Linked DNA regions of Saccharomyces cerevisiae S288C. The gene in region 3 interacts genetically with the main gene of each other region. Each region holds a gene or a part of one and is shown on either strand. Other genes may lie near its edges.

Region 1 (3,363 bases), on a different chromosome or scaffold from region 3:
ATGCCACATTATCTATAACTCAAATGAATGTTAAGCCCGATACCACGGTAAAACAAGTGAAAGATTTCATATGTTCTGTTTACACTCACTCATTAAACTTGAGGAGAAATGATATCAAGTTGATTTATAAGGGACAGTTGCTTCATGAAAATAATTTTGCAGGCAACTCTTCAAAGATCAGCGAGTACATTAAAGAGCCACATGAAGTGAAGGTCCATGTACAAATCAACCAAGAGTATACAGAATCTGGGCCTGGATTTTGGAATGAAGTGTTCAACAATCCGAATATTTTCCAATTCATGCCTCCAGATACAAGGTCACAGTCACCTGTTAGTTTCGCTCCGACGCAAGGACGATCTCCTGCTGCAATACGTGGCGAAGAACGGGGTATACCATACGTAACCGAATCTGGAAATGACATCGTGCCCACAGATGAGCTTTATAGGAAATGCATTATCAACGGGGATGAAGTAGTATTCATTCCTGTTAGCGAACTAAATCCACAATCGAGCTATTTGTCCGTGATCAAAGGCGATTACGGTGAAATTAAAATCCCCATATCTAGTAATGACTACAGAATTAATGGCGATAATATTTTGCTATCACCATCTGCGATAGAGCAGTTAGAATCTGCTTTGAACTTCAAAATCGAGAGACCACGGGATTCGACACTCTTGCATCCGTCTGGTGAGCATGTTCGAGCTGCAGATAATACCTCTTCGGCAAATGATAATAATACAGTTGAGAATGACGAGTCAGCGTGGAATAGAAGGGTAGTGCGTCCCTTGAGAAACAGCTTCCCGCTGCTATTGGTATTGATAAGAACATTTTACTTAATTGGCTATAATTCATTGGTTCCCTTTTTTATTATTTTGGAGTTTGGAAGCTTCCTTCCCTGGAAATATATCATTTTACTAAGCTTGCTTTTCATTTTTAGGACTGTTTGGAATACCCAAGAGGTGTGGAATTTATGGCGAGACTATCTCCACTTGAATGAAATTGACGAAGTCAAGTTTAGCCAGATCAAGGAGTTCATCAATTCCAATTCATTGACCTTAAATTTCTACAAGAAATGTAAGGACACTCAATCCGCTATTGATTTACTGATGATACCTAATCTACATGAGCAAAGGCTATCGGTCTATTCTAAGTATGATATTGAGTACGACACCAACACCCCTGACGTTGGACAATTGAATTTGCTATTTATCAAGGTGCTATCGGGTGAGATTCCTAAGGACGCGCTAGATGAGTTGTTCAAAGAGTTTTTCGAATTGTATGAAACGACAAGAAACATGAACACACTATATCCTCAAGACTCTTTGAACGAATTGCTGCTGATGATTTGGAAGGAGTCCCAAAAGAAAGACATCAATACGCTACCCAAGTACAGAAGATGGTTCCAAACCTTGTGCTCGCAAATAGCGGAGCATAACGTCCTTGATGTCGTACTCAGATACATAATTCCAGACCCGGTAAACGATAGGGTGATAACCGCTGTGATAAAGAACTTCGTGCTCTTTTGGGTTACACTACTCCCCTATGTGAAGGAGAAGCTGGATGATATTGTTGCACAGAGAGCAAGGGACCGTGAGCAACCGGCTCCATCTGCCCAACAGCAGGAAAACGAAGATGAGGCCCTCATAATCCCTGACGAGGAAGAACCCACCGCCACAGGTGCGCAACCTCATCTCTACATTCCTGATGAAGACTAATTGCAATGCGATGTGGCCACGTTATATAATGCGTTTAAGGTGTACGAAAACCCATGCTGTTCTGGCCCGTCGGGTTTTCTGACAAATTGTCCTTTAGGGATTTTTCGGTTTGGCTCGGGTTGGCAAAGTCGGCTGGCAACAAACCAGGACATATATAAAGGGAGGTAATTCGTCAGATCAATGCCGAACCGTTCTCAACGGGCCTTCCCCTCGTTCAATTGCTCACAACCAACCACAACTACATACACATACATACACAATGGTCGCTCAAGTTCAAAAGCAAGCTCCAACTTTTAAGAAAACTGCCGTCGTCGACGGTGTCTTTGACGAAGTCTCCTTGGACAAATACAAGGGTAAGTACGTTGTCCTAGCCTTTATTCCATTGGCCTTCACTTTCGTCTGTCCAACCGAAATCATTGCTTTCTCAGAAGCTGCTAAGAAATTCGAAGAACAAGGCGCTCAAGTTCTTTTCGCCTCCACTGACTCCGAATACTCCCTTTTGGCATGGACCAATATCCCAAGAAAGGAAGGTGGTTTGGGCCCAATCAACATTCCATTGTTGGCTGACACCAACCACTCTTTGTCCAGAGACTATGGTGTCTTGATCGAAGAAGAAGGTGTCGCCTTGAGAGGTTTGTTCATCATCGACCCAAAGGGTGTCATTAGACACATCACCATTAACGATTTGCCAGTCGGTAGAAACGTTGACGAAGCCTTGAGATTGGTTGAAGCCTTCCAATGGACCGACAAGAACGGTACTGTCTTGCCATGTAACTGGACTCCAGGTGCTGCTACCATCAAGCCAACCGTTGAAGACTCCAAGGAATACTTCGAAGCTGCCAACAAATAAGACGCTTGCAGAGTTGTCTAAATGACTACTTATTTAAAATTCACTCTTTACGTTTATACCTATCTATCTATATATAAAACCCATAAACTTAATGCTATTCACTGACAAAACGATACACTACCGTCTAAGAAGCTATTCACACTAGCTCAGTTCTAATAACAATCATCGTCTGGCTCTAAAACGCGTAAACCATTCACTGCCACACTCACTTTAGCTCTGTTGCTGCCCTTCATACGCTGAGACGCGACGCTTCTTTTCTTTCATATGATTTCCCTTCTAGGCGACACGCCATGCCCCAAACGGGGAACACCGCGAATTCCTTCTGGTGCCCGGTTTCCTCTTTGGGAAGGGCGTCAAAATGGTACAGCTCGCTATAGTCGCCAATTACTGCAGATGCTTAAAGGCTTCTGCAACTGTATGTCCAACCTAGTACGTGGAAACTTCAAACGCGAACAATCTGTATGCTGTTTCGGGCTACTTATTGCTCTATACGGTTTTTAGTGGACACGAACTCTTGTAATTATTATATATATATATGCCTTGGCATTTTAACAAGACTCTATGTTGTGATTTCAGTATGATTTGGGTGAAAACACAGTGGTGACCACAGAACAACGAGGTAACAGTTCCAGACCACTACCTTTCCCCTTCAATCTTTGTGATTTGATCAATTCTTGATGTCACAAGAAACAAAAATGCTACCTTCTCTATCTAGTCTTCTATCGGGAACCGAAATCTCGTCCAGCCCCGTATCACCAAGCTTCACTAATCCAAGAACGAGTTTTCACCTCGATGATC
Region 2 (3,807 bases), on a different chromosome or scaffold from region 3:
TTGGCTAGACGGGGGCCCCAGGGTGAGTGTGCTAGCCCCTTGGTTCTACCCCCTTCTCCTTCCCTAGGTAACTGACACCATAGCCGCTGCCCGGACCCCCGCCCCTTCCTATCTCCCTTCGGCGAGGGCGCCAGGCCCGCCAGCCGGACTTAGACACTTTCGAGCAAGCAATCCCAAATACGCCATATCAAAATGCAGGGGCGGGGTGACCCGCTTTTCTCGAAATTTCTATCTGGCCCTCTGTTTCGCCCCTTTTACCCTGAACGCGATTTTTGAGCGAGACGAGAAGAGCAGAAATTTCGCAATAAGTTACTACAATGGTGCCCGCTTTAGAATAATAACTCGGGACACATTTATACATTCCCACACACACAGACGAGGCACGGCTACCCACGCGCACAAAAGTAAAAATGGATGGATCGACTATAGTGTTTATACTGACGATGGTGTGCTTGTTTGTTTACACCGTGAAACACAGGGGCGCCAAGCAAGTACCCTCGCGAACCGTACAGGATGCCAAACCGGCGCCCTCGGTCGCCACCAACGACCCTTCTCCGGAGCCAGTACCATCGGCTCCGGAGGAACGCGTTGCTCGGTTAAACAGACATGGTAGTGATCGAAAGAGAGCCGTTAATAGTGACATGGTTGAAATCGTGATGACGATGGCGCCACATGTGCCTCAGGAAAAAGTCGTGCAAGATCTCAGGAACACAGGGTCCATTGAGCACACAATGGAAAATATCTTCGCTGGCAAACTAGATTAGGCATTCTTATGTACCGCATTAAATATATTAAAAATCACAAATCGACTGGCGTAGGATGTATGCGCCTCTTTTTACTATCGCTACTATTGCAGGGGATCTTCTTCACCGGCAGCATGTTCACGATCCCACCTGCCTCGCGCTGGTTCTTAGCCGCTACCGCGCTCTCGTCAGTGTCTAGTGGCTCTGCATGCATCGCTGGCGGCTCTATCCTTGAACCGAATTGCGTTTCTGTGTCGATCGATACATACGAACAGAATCCGTCTGTTGATGAGATTAGTAGGGTCGAGCCATCCTCAGACCATGCTAAATCAGTTATGGGTGAGTAATGTATATTTCCCACAACGCATAACGGCTCCAATACATCCGTGTCGTACACGAGTACTTCGTTAGTCGTTGCTATGGCAAATACTAGCTTATAGGGCAGCTTAAGCACACTCTTCTGGCACGTTTCGTAAAATACGGGCGAGAAAGCCGCCATCAGCGCTGGTTTCTTCAAAGATGGGATTCTAATCGCAGGCCGGTTTTTAACGCCACCAGCGCTGTTCAGTATTCCAGATCTAGTATACACGTATACGCAGTTCGCGACTTCATCACCAGCCACCTTATACACACCACTGGGAATTACGACCAAACCACCACAAGGCGATATGCTGCATCGCCTAAAGAATGAAGGTAGCGTCTCGTTGTGAAAAAGGTAATTTGTCCTCAGGACATCACCTGGACAAGGCAGTTCTGCCTTGGCAATCTTACTTCTAAGTTTCAGCCCTGTAACCACTCCTGCAGATGAAAGAATGACTCCATATACATGCAGAGACCGGTCCGCAGACTGTGAGAGAATAAACTGATTTAATGGGTCCCATGCAACACCTTGGACGTAGTGACCATGATCCGACTGGCCGCATACCAGCATCCCAGCTCCAACATCGAACAGTCGTATCGAATTGTCCATACATGCCACCACTATGTTCCTGTTATCAGGTGACCACGCTAGATCGTAAATCTCTGCCGCCGCAGTAGCACCGCTACCACCACGCAGCCGTTTCCACACAACCCATTTCTCCTTGTTCTCGTCTGCTTCACTAGTCTCCGCATCCATTCCGAATGGTCTGACCACAGATTCTTGCTGTGTATTTGGATCTTCTTGCTTCCATAGCAGCACTTGGCCGTCATCGCCCGCAGACGCCAGTACGTCACCCTTCGAGTTGAATCGGATTACATTTATGGCCTGTTCGTGATGCGTCAGCGAGCCAAGAAAGTCAAGGCTTTCAATCTTACGCACCCCCCCATTTTGTCCGTTTTCATCTCTGTTCAACTTCCATATCCTAACCTTGTTATCACCACCAGCGGTGAAAAGCTTGTCGTTCGCACTGTTCTTTTGGAATGTGAGCGAGTAAACGGGTTGTGAATCATGCCAGTAGATTTGCAAATGTGAAGCTTCCATTGTCCTGCCCCTTTGCTCTAAGCTTTTCTGCCTCCTTCTTTTAAATTCTGATACGTACTATAACGCTATAATAATAGCCCATCAGTTAGACAGCGAGTTAACTAACGTGTTCGCCGGGCAACCCAAGGAAATAAGGCGTCCTTTTCACATTTTCATATTTTTTCAAATTTTTTTCAATTCTAATTTTCCTTTTTCTCCCCCACCGTCTATAAAAGCTAGTAGTTTTCTACTTTTCACCACAGAAATCTATTCCTTCGATAACAGTCCCTAAATAAAAACACGACAAAAAGGCCCCACGCAAGCATGTGCAGCAACGGACAGGCGTCGTGCGCACAAACTTGCTCAGGGGCCCGAATACTAGCACATATGTCAAATTCCTAATTAACGTTTTTTATATTCATCGTTTCTTAGAGCCGTAATTGTGCTGATATCAATATCAGGGAAGAACATACCATATAGAGGTGTCAAGTACACCGAACGATCGTGGTGCTCCCTCAGCCACGGGCGTGCTTGGACGCTATTCCCACATATATACGCAAACAATCTATGTCTTCTCCCTCCTTGCCAGAAAGCCGGCTCCTGCTTGTAGTTAAGGTATATATGTATATATTCCGGGTAAGAATATTTTGTAATACCAAAAATTTTCTTCTTGAAATGAATACTTTGAGACATCTTTAATATTCGAACAGAAACACAAATAAAGAGATAACCCTTTCCACCGCTAAAAAAAGGACCCCATCAGCCATGGCTACACCTTCATTTGGCAATTCCTCTCCACAATTGACCTTCACTCATGTTGCTAATTTTATGAACGATGCTGCTGCTGATGTATCCGCTGTGGATGCCAAGCAATTGGCCCAAATAAGACAGTTTTTGAAAGCTAACAAGACAAATCTTATCGAGAGTCTGAACACAATAAGGCAGAATGTAACTTCTTCCGGCGATCATAACAAGTTACGCTCTACAATTGCAAACTTATTGCAAATAAACGTCGATAATGATCCATTCTTTGCTCAATCTGAGGACCTTTCTCATGCTGTAGAATTCTTTATGTCTGAGAGATCATCTAGACTTCATATAGTATACTCACTTCTCGTTAACCCTGACATCGACCTCGAGACATATTCATTTATTGACAACGATAGATTCAATGTAGTGGGGAAATTGATTTCTATAATATCATCTGTAATCCAGAACTACGACATTATTACAGCTTCATCTTTAGCACATGATTATAATAACGATCAAGACATGTTCACAATTGTCTCATTGGTGCAGTTAAAAAAATTTTCTGATTTGAAGTTTATCTTGCAGATATTACAAATTTTGAATTTAATGATCCTCAACACAAAAGTACCAGTAGATATCGTCAATCAATGGTTTCTACAGTATCAAAATCAATTTGTTGAATTTTGCAGAAATATAAATTCAACAGACAAGAGTATAGATACCTCGTCACTACAATTGTACAAGTTTCAGAATTTCCAAGACCTCAGTTACCTCTCAGAAACGCTTATTTCCAGGATTTCATCTTTATTTACTATCACAACTATATTGATACTTGGACTGAACACTTCAATCGCGCAATTTGATATTCAGTCA
Region 3 (9,896 bases):
TCAACACACTTGCTCAACATATACTATTCCCCTCTAGGCAAGTTTTAGACATGACATATGAGTTAATACAATTCATGTGGGACACTAGAGATAAACAATTAATATGGCACAAAAACAAACCTACCAAGCCAGATAATAAACTAGTCGCAATAAGCGATGCTTCATATGGTAACCAACCATATTACAAGTCACAAATTGGTAACATTTTCCTACTCAACGGAAAAGTGATTGGAGGAAAGTCGACAAAGGCTTCGTTAACATGCACTTCAACTACAGAAGCAGAAATACACGCAGTCAGTGAAGCTATACCGCTATTGAATAACCTCAGTCACCTTGTGCAAGAACTTAACAAGAAACCAATTATTAAAGGCTTACTTACTGATAGTAGATCAACGATCAGTATAATTAAGTCTACAAATGAAGAGAAATTTAGAAACAGATTTTTTGGCACAAAGGCAATGAGACTTAGAGATGAAGTATCAGGTAATAATTTATACGTATACTACATCGAGACCAAGAAGAACATTGCTGATGTGATGACAAAACCTCTTCCGATAAAAACATTTAAACTATTAACTAACAAATGGATTCATTAGATCTATTACATTATGGGTGGTATGTTGGAATAGAAATCAACTATCATCTACTAACTAGTATTTACATTACTAGTATATTATCATATACGGTGTTAGAAGATGACGCAAATGATGAGAAATAGTCATCTAAATTAGTGGAAGCTGAAACGCAAGGATTGATAATGTAATAGGATCAATGAATATAAACATATAAAATGATGATAATAATATTTATAGAATTGTGTAGAATTGCAGATTCCCTTTTATGGATTCCTAAATCCTTGAGGAGAACTTCTAGTATATTCTGTATACCTAATATTATAGCCTTTATCAACAATGGAATCCCAACAATTATCTCAACATTCACATATTTCTCAAAGCATATATGTAGTATATATACATATACATATATATATTTATATAGGTTTGGGAACCTATGTTTTTTATTGTACCAAACGCATCCCTCTTCAATAATCTTCGAAAAAAAAGTGCACAACAAGCGGGAAAATCTGTGTAAAGCTGTATAAGTGATCTGTACAAAAACTACGAAGAAAAGAAATAATACCAGGGAGGAACTACCAATTGTAACCATTAACCTTAGTTATGAGATCATCTCTTCTAACCCTTCCAAAAGTATGTTTCCGGCAAACGCTATAAATTTTTGTTAACTTGTAAGGATTCGAAGCAAAGCACAATTTTACTAACCTGTTCTCAAACATATTTTTTTTTCATAGTCTTTTTTGGGGTTTATGCCGCTATACCTTGCAGTTGAGATTGTCTTAGGTATTTCCATTCTAAACAAATGCAGTGGTGCTTATGGTATTTTAGCATTGTTCACGGGTCATCCGTTGGATTTTATGCAATGGATAGCATATCTTTGGTCGGTATTTACATTAATCGTATTCTCACAAGGGCTGTATTTGATTCATAAGCCAAACTTGCTGGTATTTTCGCAAATCTGCGTACTTTATACAATCGATACCATTTCCACTTGTTTTTTTACTCTATGGTTTACCACGCAATGGTTCACCTTGGAAGACACTGCTAATATTGATGGAAATAATGCACTACAAAGTAACCCAATATCGACAGGTAAGCTGACAGAACGTGGTATTGATATAAGTAAACAAAGTGCAACTGAAAGCTACGAATATACCATGACTATTTTAATTACGTTGGTGTCATTGATATTCAGGTTCTACTTTAACTTCATTTTGGCATCTTTTGTTCAAGAATTGTTACACCACCCCAAATATTTAGTTGATAGGGATGACGTAGAACAAAACTTGAAAAACAAGCCTATTTGGAAAAGACTGTGGGCTAAGAGCCAAAAAGGTTGTTATAAGCTATGTAAGAATTTGTTAGAGTAAATAGTAAAATAAAGCCCTAGCGTTATAGCGTTTTACACTGATGAAGAAATGTTTCTATTCTGACATCATAAAATCATTCTCACTGATGCTATTGTCACTTTTCATCACGTGTGTATTTAAGTAGCTCTTACGTAATTTTGAAAAAAAAGGAAAAAGGAAACTATATAGCACGCAATTCCCTATTTGGTTGCAATTCAATTCCGTGAAACCCTTTTCTTTTCTAAAGTGATAATAAAGTAACTTTGCAATATAATCAGGTCGCAAATATACCCACAGATAATAATCTACCATGCCTGCTACGTTAAAGAATTCTTCTGCTACATTAAAACTAAATACTGGTGCCTCCATTCCAGTGTTGGGTTTCGGCACTTGGCGTTCCGTTGACAATAACGGTTACCATTCTGTAATTGCAGCTTTGAAAGCTGGATACAGACACATTGATGCTGCGGCTATCTATTTGAATGAAGAAGAAGTTGGCAGGGCTATTAAAGATTCCGGAGTCCCTCGTGAGGAAATTTTTATTACTACTAAGCTTTGGGGTACGGAACAACGTGATCCGGAAGCTGCTCTAAACAAGTCTTTGAAAAGACTAGGCTTGGATTATGTTGACCTATATCTGATGCATTGGCCAGTGCCTTTGAAAACCGACAGAGTTACTGATGGTAACGTTCTGTGCATTCCAACATTAGAAGATGGCACTGTTGACATCGATACTAAGGAATGGAATTTTATCAAGACGTGGGAGTTGATGCAAGAGTTGCCAAAGACGGGCAAAACTAAAGCCGTTGGTGTCTCTAATTTTTCTATTAACAACATTAAAGAATTATTAGAATCTCCAAATAACAAGGTGGTACCAGCTACTAATCAAATTGAAATTCATCCATTGCTACCACAAGACGAATTGATTGCCTTTTGTAAGGAAAAGGGTATTGTTGTTGAAGCCTACTCACCATTTGGGAGTGCTAATGCTCCTTTACTAAAAGAGCAAGCAATTATTGATATGGCTAAAAAGCACGGCGTTGAGCCAGCACAGCTTATTATCAGTTGGAGTATTCAAAGAGGCTACGTTGTTCTGGCCAAATCGGTTAATCCTGAAAGAATTGTATCCAATTTTAAGATTTTCACTCTGCCTGAGGATGATTTCAAGACTATTAGTAACCTATCCAAAGTGCATGGTACAAAGAGAGTCGTTGATATGAAGTGGGGATCCTTCCCAATTTTCCAATGAGCGCGCTACATTACAGTTAATGCCTCCAGCAACCTGTAGTGCTTCTTTAAACCGATCCGATACAGCTGAAACAAACATTGATTTTACTAATTTTCATATAATATATACACATATATCGAATGATAATGCAAAATATAATTTAATGAAATTGGAAATACTCGGAAAATTTATCATTATCCTTTTCTTCTTTTGAACGTAAACTTCGGACCGTCGTCATCGTCGTCGTCGCCATCACCGTTATTAGAAGCCCCAAAAGAGCCACGTGATCTACTAGTTGCGCTTCTACTGTGTCTACTTTGCTTGGAACATTCTTCTGACAAGTTTGGCCGTAAGTTCATTTCCTTCACCACAAAAAGATTACGATTATTTTCTCTGTGATTTAGTCTATCGCTTTTATCATCAATATCACCCAGATCATCTTCATCAGTAATAAAAATTTTGTTTTTTAGTGGTTGAACGCTGGCTGCAGTACCTGAACAACGAGAAAAAGAAAACGAATCTTCTTCTCCTTCATTTGAACTATCCTCATTCGTGAATCTGTTTAGAGCTTGAGATCTTTTCTGGATAGTGTTTGAGTTTATATTATCGGACATAAATGTATTCGATCCAAATCTTTCCATCTCCGTCAAAGCAAACATATCTTCGTTTTCTTCTGTGCCCCATTTTGTAGTTGTATCCTTTTTGGAGTATTTTTTTAACGGAACATAATTTCTAGTGATTAAAAAGGCTGCATTTCGTATAAAATCTGAGCTTTGAGTGTTATTTTTACCCTCTTCTTTGTGCGCCTTTGATTTTGGACGTACCTTGACAAAAGTCTTGAAATTCTTGCGTTTATGCCATTCTGGCTCCATTAGGCTATTTTCCCATTTTTCAGTTGTTCTGCTTGTTTTGTTTCCCTCACTATCAAATGATTTCCTCAGTAAATTGTTACTAGGTTCTACAATAGCCAAATTTTTTAGCTGATTAATAGCTTCCTCGCTCAACTCCTCATCCTTCAATTCAACAATGGTTGACTTAACTCTTTTGACCTCTCTATTTTTAGTTTCTTGAATAGCTTCAACAAATGCGTGCGGCGTACCAGATTTCTCTTTAATAGATAACTCTTTTACAGGTGACTTACAATTTTCTTGTAATGGAGATGAAATTTCTCGTGAATAATTAGAAAGTTTACGGATGTTTTTAGAGGGTTGCTCTATATTCTGGTGATGATTCACCCTAAAATTCTTAGTAACTTCAGCATCATCCATCGAATTCACAGCAGCTGTTTCATAGTCAGCGGAGTTCGAAGATATGGTTTGAGAGCCAATCCCTGCTACCTCCGGCAATGACGGCTGTGGTAACTTATGTGACTGTAGCGACTTATCCAACGAATCCTCACTCGTGTTCACAGTACCTAAGTTGGGGCTACTGACAATTATAGCACCAGGGCTACTGTGACCACTTTTCTTTCCAATATCTTCAGTCGGCTTTAGTGCGTTTTGAAGAAATGGGGCGTGCTTTTCATCTGCCTCTGCAATGTTGGGACTTGAAATGACAGTCTTTGATTCTGCGCCACAATTAAGTCTCTTAGCGTCAGTTAAAGACCTATTTTCTGATAGAGTCTTAGTACTCAAACCTCCAGCAAAAAAATCAAGACTATCGAGTGGTAGTACTCTACGTCTATTTAATTTTCGCTTCTTCGAGACTACTGGACTAGCTTCAACTTCAGGTGCACGAGATGTTTTCAAAATAGTAGACATTCCTTCAGAAATTTGATCAAATTTACCGTTATCTAGAGTTCTTGAAGATGCACCCTTCATATTAATCACTGCGCTTAAGGTGCCATCTATTATTGATGTTAACATCGTTTTGATAGTACATAGAATTTTCCCATTTTCTTTCTTATCTGTAGTTGTCAAAATCAGGTATTCTGTTGATGCTTCCAAGCTGTCAACATATTTATATAAACTATCAATGTTGTCAAATGCAAATAAATTTATATTGAACGTCCGCAGGAGAGATGATAGACGTGGTTCACTTTTGATAGTAGTTAACACTCTGATATTATTCAGCCTCATAAACTTCGAAAGCAAAATATTTGGATCAAAATCAAAAACATTGTACTCCGGATTACTAATCATATCGTTCCACATTTCATCAAATTTTAAATTAGTTTTAGATGTGGGAAGAAGAGTATTACACAATTCCATCAGAAACCGTGATTTTTTCATGGGTATAGTACTAACAAGGGCATACAATTCCCGTATGCTGTTGTCCTCGCTCTTTGGGTAATCGCTAATCATCAGATTAGCGGGAATATCATTAATAGAAATCTCAGTGGAGATACCATATTCAGAAAGCATCGTCCTGAATTGTGTCAAATGAGGAGGAATGTTCCAGACTTCATTTATCCATTCGAACTCTATACGAATAGGAGTTGTACCCAGTTCAATTATTGTGGACTTTAAAACGTCCGAGGCATTAATAGTAAATGTTTCGCCAACTTTCATGAATTTTTTATTTAATGATGTCAATTTACCCTTGTTAACTAAACACAGGCTACTGTGTTTCAGATCCGAACTATTATTGATTTCCCATTTGAATGTGATATGCTGTCTGGAAATACTTTTATCATTTTTAATTATCAGTGGGTTTTTACTTGATCTACCTATACTATAAGTTTTGAAGGCCTGAAGACAACATGATATAAAGCTAATAGAGCCATCTTCCAATGTATTCTGGTATCGTACTACCCACATAAATTTATAGTTATCACCTTCTCAGTATTGTTGCTCATCTATTACAAAATTCTGCTTATTTGGTTTACGCATTGCTTTTCATAGAAAAAAAGGGCTCCCCATATAAATTTAAGAAAAGTACTAATATTTAGCGTAGTTAACAACTTTACGAAAATGAAAATGAAATATTTCTCGGAAAAGTATTATATATTATACACGTCTCTACATTCCAAATAATTCTACGTTTCTTGGAGTAGTCTTAAGTTTAGTGATGACGATGGCGTTGTTAGTATCTATACCGATTTCAAATGATTCTGGTTTTGTACTGCTATAGTCAGAGATATTTGCCTCCACCAGCTTACAAATTGCTTCAATACAATAATGACACCATTCTACCGCAATTTGGGCATTATAGTTAAGTTCCTTTTTATTTGTAGGTAGACCTGGGTGATTGAATTTCTTACATAATAAGTCCCTTGAGTACCATTGAATGTCTAGTAATTGACCGCTATGACTGTCCCTCAAACCTATCATGATATCTGAGTTCGGTAATAAACCCGTCTGTACCCACGTTTTCAGAAGTTTTCTCCTATGATTGGAATTGTGCATTGATAATGGGGCAAAACACTTTAGTTCTGTGTTTGTCTCCGAAACAGGATTGAATGCATCCATTTCGCAGCGAATTAAAAGACCAATTTCTTCTGAAAGTTTACTCTCTACAAGAGAAAAAATAGGACATTTAGAGCCAGTTAAATCAGCGACTTTGGAATTTTCGGTTACCCAATTTTCAAATTCAAATCCTGAATAGCAAATTTTCTTCATATTTGGATCATTTGAATAAATGCCCTCTTTGGACATTTGAGAATCTTTTTTTACATTTCTGCAAAATGAAAGAAGGCCCGCCCCCATATAAGTTACAATTAGTGACGTTTGTCTATTTCGCCTGTTAAAGAGATGCATAGTCAAATCTACGATATGATGTCTTGTGGTTACAACAGTAAATTTCTTGCCGATCTTAAAATCCTTACCAGGATTATCTAGTATCCAGTTCTCAATGTATGAAAAACACGGTGATACACTATCTAATTCGGATATTGTCATGGGAACGAACTCATCAATATTAGCAAATAAGTCATGGCCTAAATACGGGACTTTCCGCTTTTTTGCCTCAAGAAGCGAGCTTTCATACAATTCAGCAATACTTTCTTTCAAATTTGGTATAAGGTCTTTGCGTAGGATTGTATAAGCCCGGCCATTGGTAAACAGAGCTACTTCTTTACTTTCATGAAATATATCTCTTGGTGGTTTCGTCAAAAAATTGTGCATACCAGTATGCAGAAAAGACGTATATGGGATACATATAAGTTTCGGACGTCTCTTTCTATAATTGTCTCTCTGTTGTGAAGGCTTCCTTGACGAAGATGAATCAGAAGTAGTTTTCTCTTTGCATAATTTACTTTGGTGTCCTCTCTCGAGATTGGGCACAGTAAGCAAATTTATACCTTCTAAATCTTTGGCCAATCCAAGAACAGCATCTTGTTCAGTTGACATAACTGAGTTTGGCTAGAAAGAAAACTTTGACATAAAATCATCGATACCTACAACTGGCGCTGTAATGCAACAATGCCATTATAAAAGTAAAACATGCTGCGAAAATTGCGGAAAAACTGGAAAAATCAATAGTGGGGTAATCCCAGTTAGTTTGACACAATAATTTGGTGATTTTGGTGGAATAATCATTATTTGTGAGGATACACCAACGAAAAGAACCTTTTGTGGTAGTATGGTCCAACAATTGTATTTGCAGGTTGGTACTAACAACCTCTATAAGTAGACGATACAAGAGTGATCATATGGTAGGACACTCAGCTCAGCACAGATCAAAAAGCAGCTTAGTGTCTCACCTACTAATACTACTTATCTTTATAACGATTATTATTGAAATGTGTTTATATAATAAAATTTTTAAGAACCAAAGGTCGGATGATATTAGAGACAACTTTAACAATGGCGGACATCGAGTTCCCAGTAATGTCCAAAATCATGGAACCCATATAAGAGACGAAGCCTTTATATCAGGGGTCTATTATTCCAATTGGTCCCCATACAAACCGAGGTTTCATTTCCCTCACGACATAAACTTGAAGCAAGTGTCTCACATTTACTATGCATTTTTCAAAATAAACTCTAGAACTGGTGGTATAGAAAACACGGATAGTTGGTCTGATCTAGAAATGAATTTGTATAAATCGCTGGCAATTAAAAATTCAGAACTAATTAAAGAAAGCTCGAACAATAGTGTCCAAAACATCCTACCCTTAGGTTGCATTGGTGAACTATTTTATTTGAAGAATACCTGTTCTGATAAGAAATTTAAAGTTATCATGTCAATTGGGGGCTGGTCTGATAGTGAAAATTTCAAAATCATAATTAAAGATGATAAACTCTTACAAAATTTTGTTGATTCGTCGGTGGAAACAATGTTCAGATTAGGATTTGATGGCATTGATCTAGACTGGGAGTTCCCTGGTAACAATGAATCAGAACCTCGCGGATATCTGAAACTGGTCAGAATGCTGCGATTAAAACTAAACAGCCTCGAATCCCAAATATTTGGGAAACGTACTGAAGATCATTTTCAATTATCTATTGCGGCACCTGCATTCAAGGATAAATTATTTTACTTGCCAATCACAGAAATTGATCAATATGTTGACTACTGGAATATGATGACGTACGATTATTATGGCTCGTGGTCAGAAACAACAGGATATCACAGCAATCTATTCAGTGAGACGGAATTGAATGGAAACTTTGCCATGCATTATATGATCGATAGATTTGGCGTCAATTCTAGAAAATTAGTACTGGGAATGGCCGCCTACGGAAGAAGTTTCCATATCAAAGATAACAAATTCGAACCATTCAATCAAAATACTGTATTAATTAACAAAATTTTCAAAGGAGTGGGCAAGCCCACTAAAGAAATAGATAAAGCTGATGGCAAGGAGGGCATCTGGCCTTACAAAAATTTACCAAAGATTGGTACAATAGAACAATACGATCCAAAATATGTTTCAGCATATTGCTTTGATGAAAAAAATTCAATATTTATCAGTTATGATAACACTAAATCAGTCAAAACTAAGGCTGAATATGTGACACATAACAATTTAGGCGGAGGCTTTTGGTGGGAGTCATGTGGTGAAGCTTATGCAAATGAGTCAAGGTCGTTGATAAACGCATTTAATGAAGGCTTGCACTTTAATGTGTCATCAAAACCATCAATATTTCAAGATGTGAGAGTTAAAAAATATTACTTGAATAAATATGGCGATGGCGGATTTTTATCTCCATATTTAAAGCATTTGGATTCAAGAAAGCAATGAATACGAATGTGGGCGTATATAATAACAAAAAGTTTGGTCTATTTATTATCCACTCCGTATATGTATATACATATATACAAATTTCGTTTATTAATGTTAGAGGCTTATAAAAAAAAGCTTGACTTTTCCTTATGTTTCAAAGAGAGGATTTTTGTTGTTATTTTCATAATAGCATATCCATTCTTGAAAAGACTTCAAATACACCAGCAATAACTTCCAATTGTAAATCATGACCAGGATTGTTTTCTATCTCTTCTTTAACTTCCTTGTTTAAATTAACGGAGACACCTAACTCAGTTTCCTTTTCTAAATCAAATGGGTATTGCGAAAATTGTGCCATTATTTCTTCAGCTCTACTAATTGCCTTATCTCTCTTCTCATATTCCAACGTAGTCAGGACATTCTCCAATACGTTTGCCCCATATGATCCACATATTAAAGCTAAAGTTCTAATGATTTTGAAAGATGTTGTCTCCGGAAAATATTCATTGTAACTTAATTCCATGTTCCTCGATACGAGTACAGAAAGTACTCTGCGCTTAATGGCTTCTTTGCAGCTGGCGTCTGCAATGGGGTGTGTCGCCATGTCAAACAAAAAGAAATTTTTCATTTCTGTT

The links. A genetic interaction does not mean that the proteins touch.
Region 1: mutations in XRS2 (region 3) and TSA1 together harm fitness more than expected from each alone (negative genetic interaction), as found in Saccharomyces cerevisiae (5 studies listed by BioGRID, with this or other methods).
Region 2: mutations in XRS2 (region 3) and CAC2 together harm fitness more than expected from each alone (negative genetic interaction), as found in Saccharomyces cerevisiae (4 studies listed by BioGRID, with this or other methods).

Annotation. Positions count from the first base shown.
Region 1 is NC_001145.3:218,164-221,526, forward strand, and holds TSA1 (thioredoxin peroxidase TSA1), read left to right. Parts: upstream 1-1,974; coding exon 1,975-2,565; downstream 2,566-3,363. Other genes in the region: USA1 (Usa1p), read left to right, coding at 1-1,715; YOX1 (Yox1p), read left to right, coding at 3,243-3,363. UniProt on the Saccharomyces cerevisiae protein: Thiol-specific peroxidase that catalyzes the reduction of hydrogen peroxide and organic hydroperoxides to water and alcohols, respectively.
Region 2 is NC_001145.3:66,692-70,498, reverse strand, and holds CAC2 (Cac2p), read right to left. Parts: upstream 2,206-3,807; coding exon 799-2,205; downstream 1-798. Other genes in the region: YML100W-A (uncharacterized protein), read right to left, coding at 188-361; CUE4 (Cue4p), read left to right, coding at 411-764; NUP188 (Nup188p), read left to right, coding at 2,950-3,807. UniProt on the Saccharomyces cerevisiae protein: Acts as a component of the histone chaperone complex chromatin assembly factor 1 (CAF-1), which assembles histone octamers onto replicating DNA.
Region 3 is NC_001136.10:1,211,670-1,221,565, forward strand, and holds XRS2 (Xrs2p), read right to left. Parts: upstream 5,912-9,896; coding exon 3,347-5,911; downstream 1-3,346. Other genes in the region: MOR1 (Mor1p), read right to left, coding at 769-1,167; KEI1 (Kei1p), read left to right, coding at 1,179-1,208, 1,310-1,945; trifunctional aldehyde reductase/carbonyl reductase (NADPH)/glucose 1-dehydrogenase (NADP(+)) YPR1, read left to right, coding at 2,235-3,173; DXO1 (Dxo1p), read right to left, coding at 6,113-7,441; CTS2 (putative chitinase), read left to right, coding at 7,744-9,279; VPS74 (Vps74p), read right to left, coding at 9,443-9,896. UniProt on the Saccharomyces cerevisiae protein: Component of the MRN complex, which plays a central role in double-strand break (DSB) repair, DNA recombination, maintenance of telomere integrity and meiosis.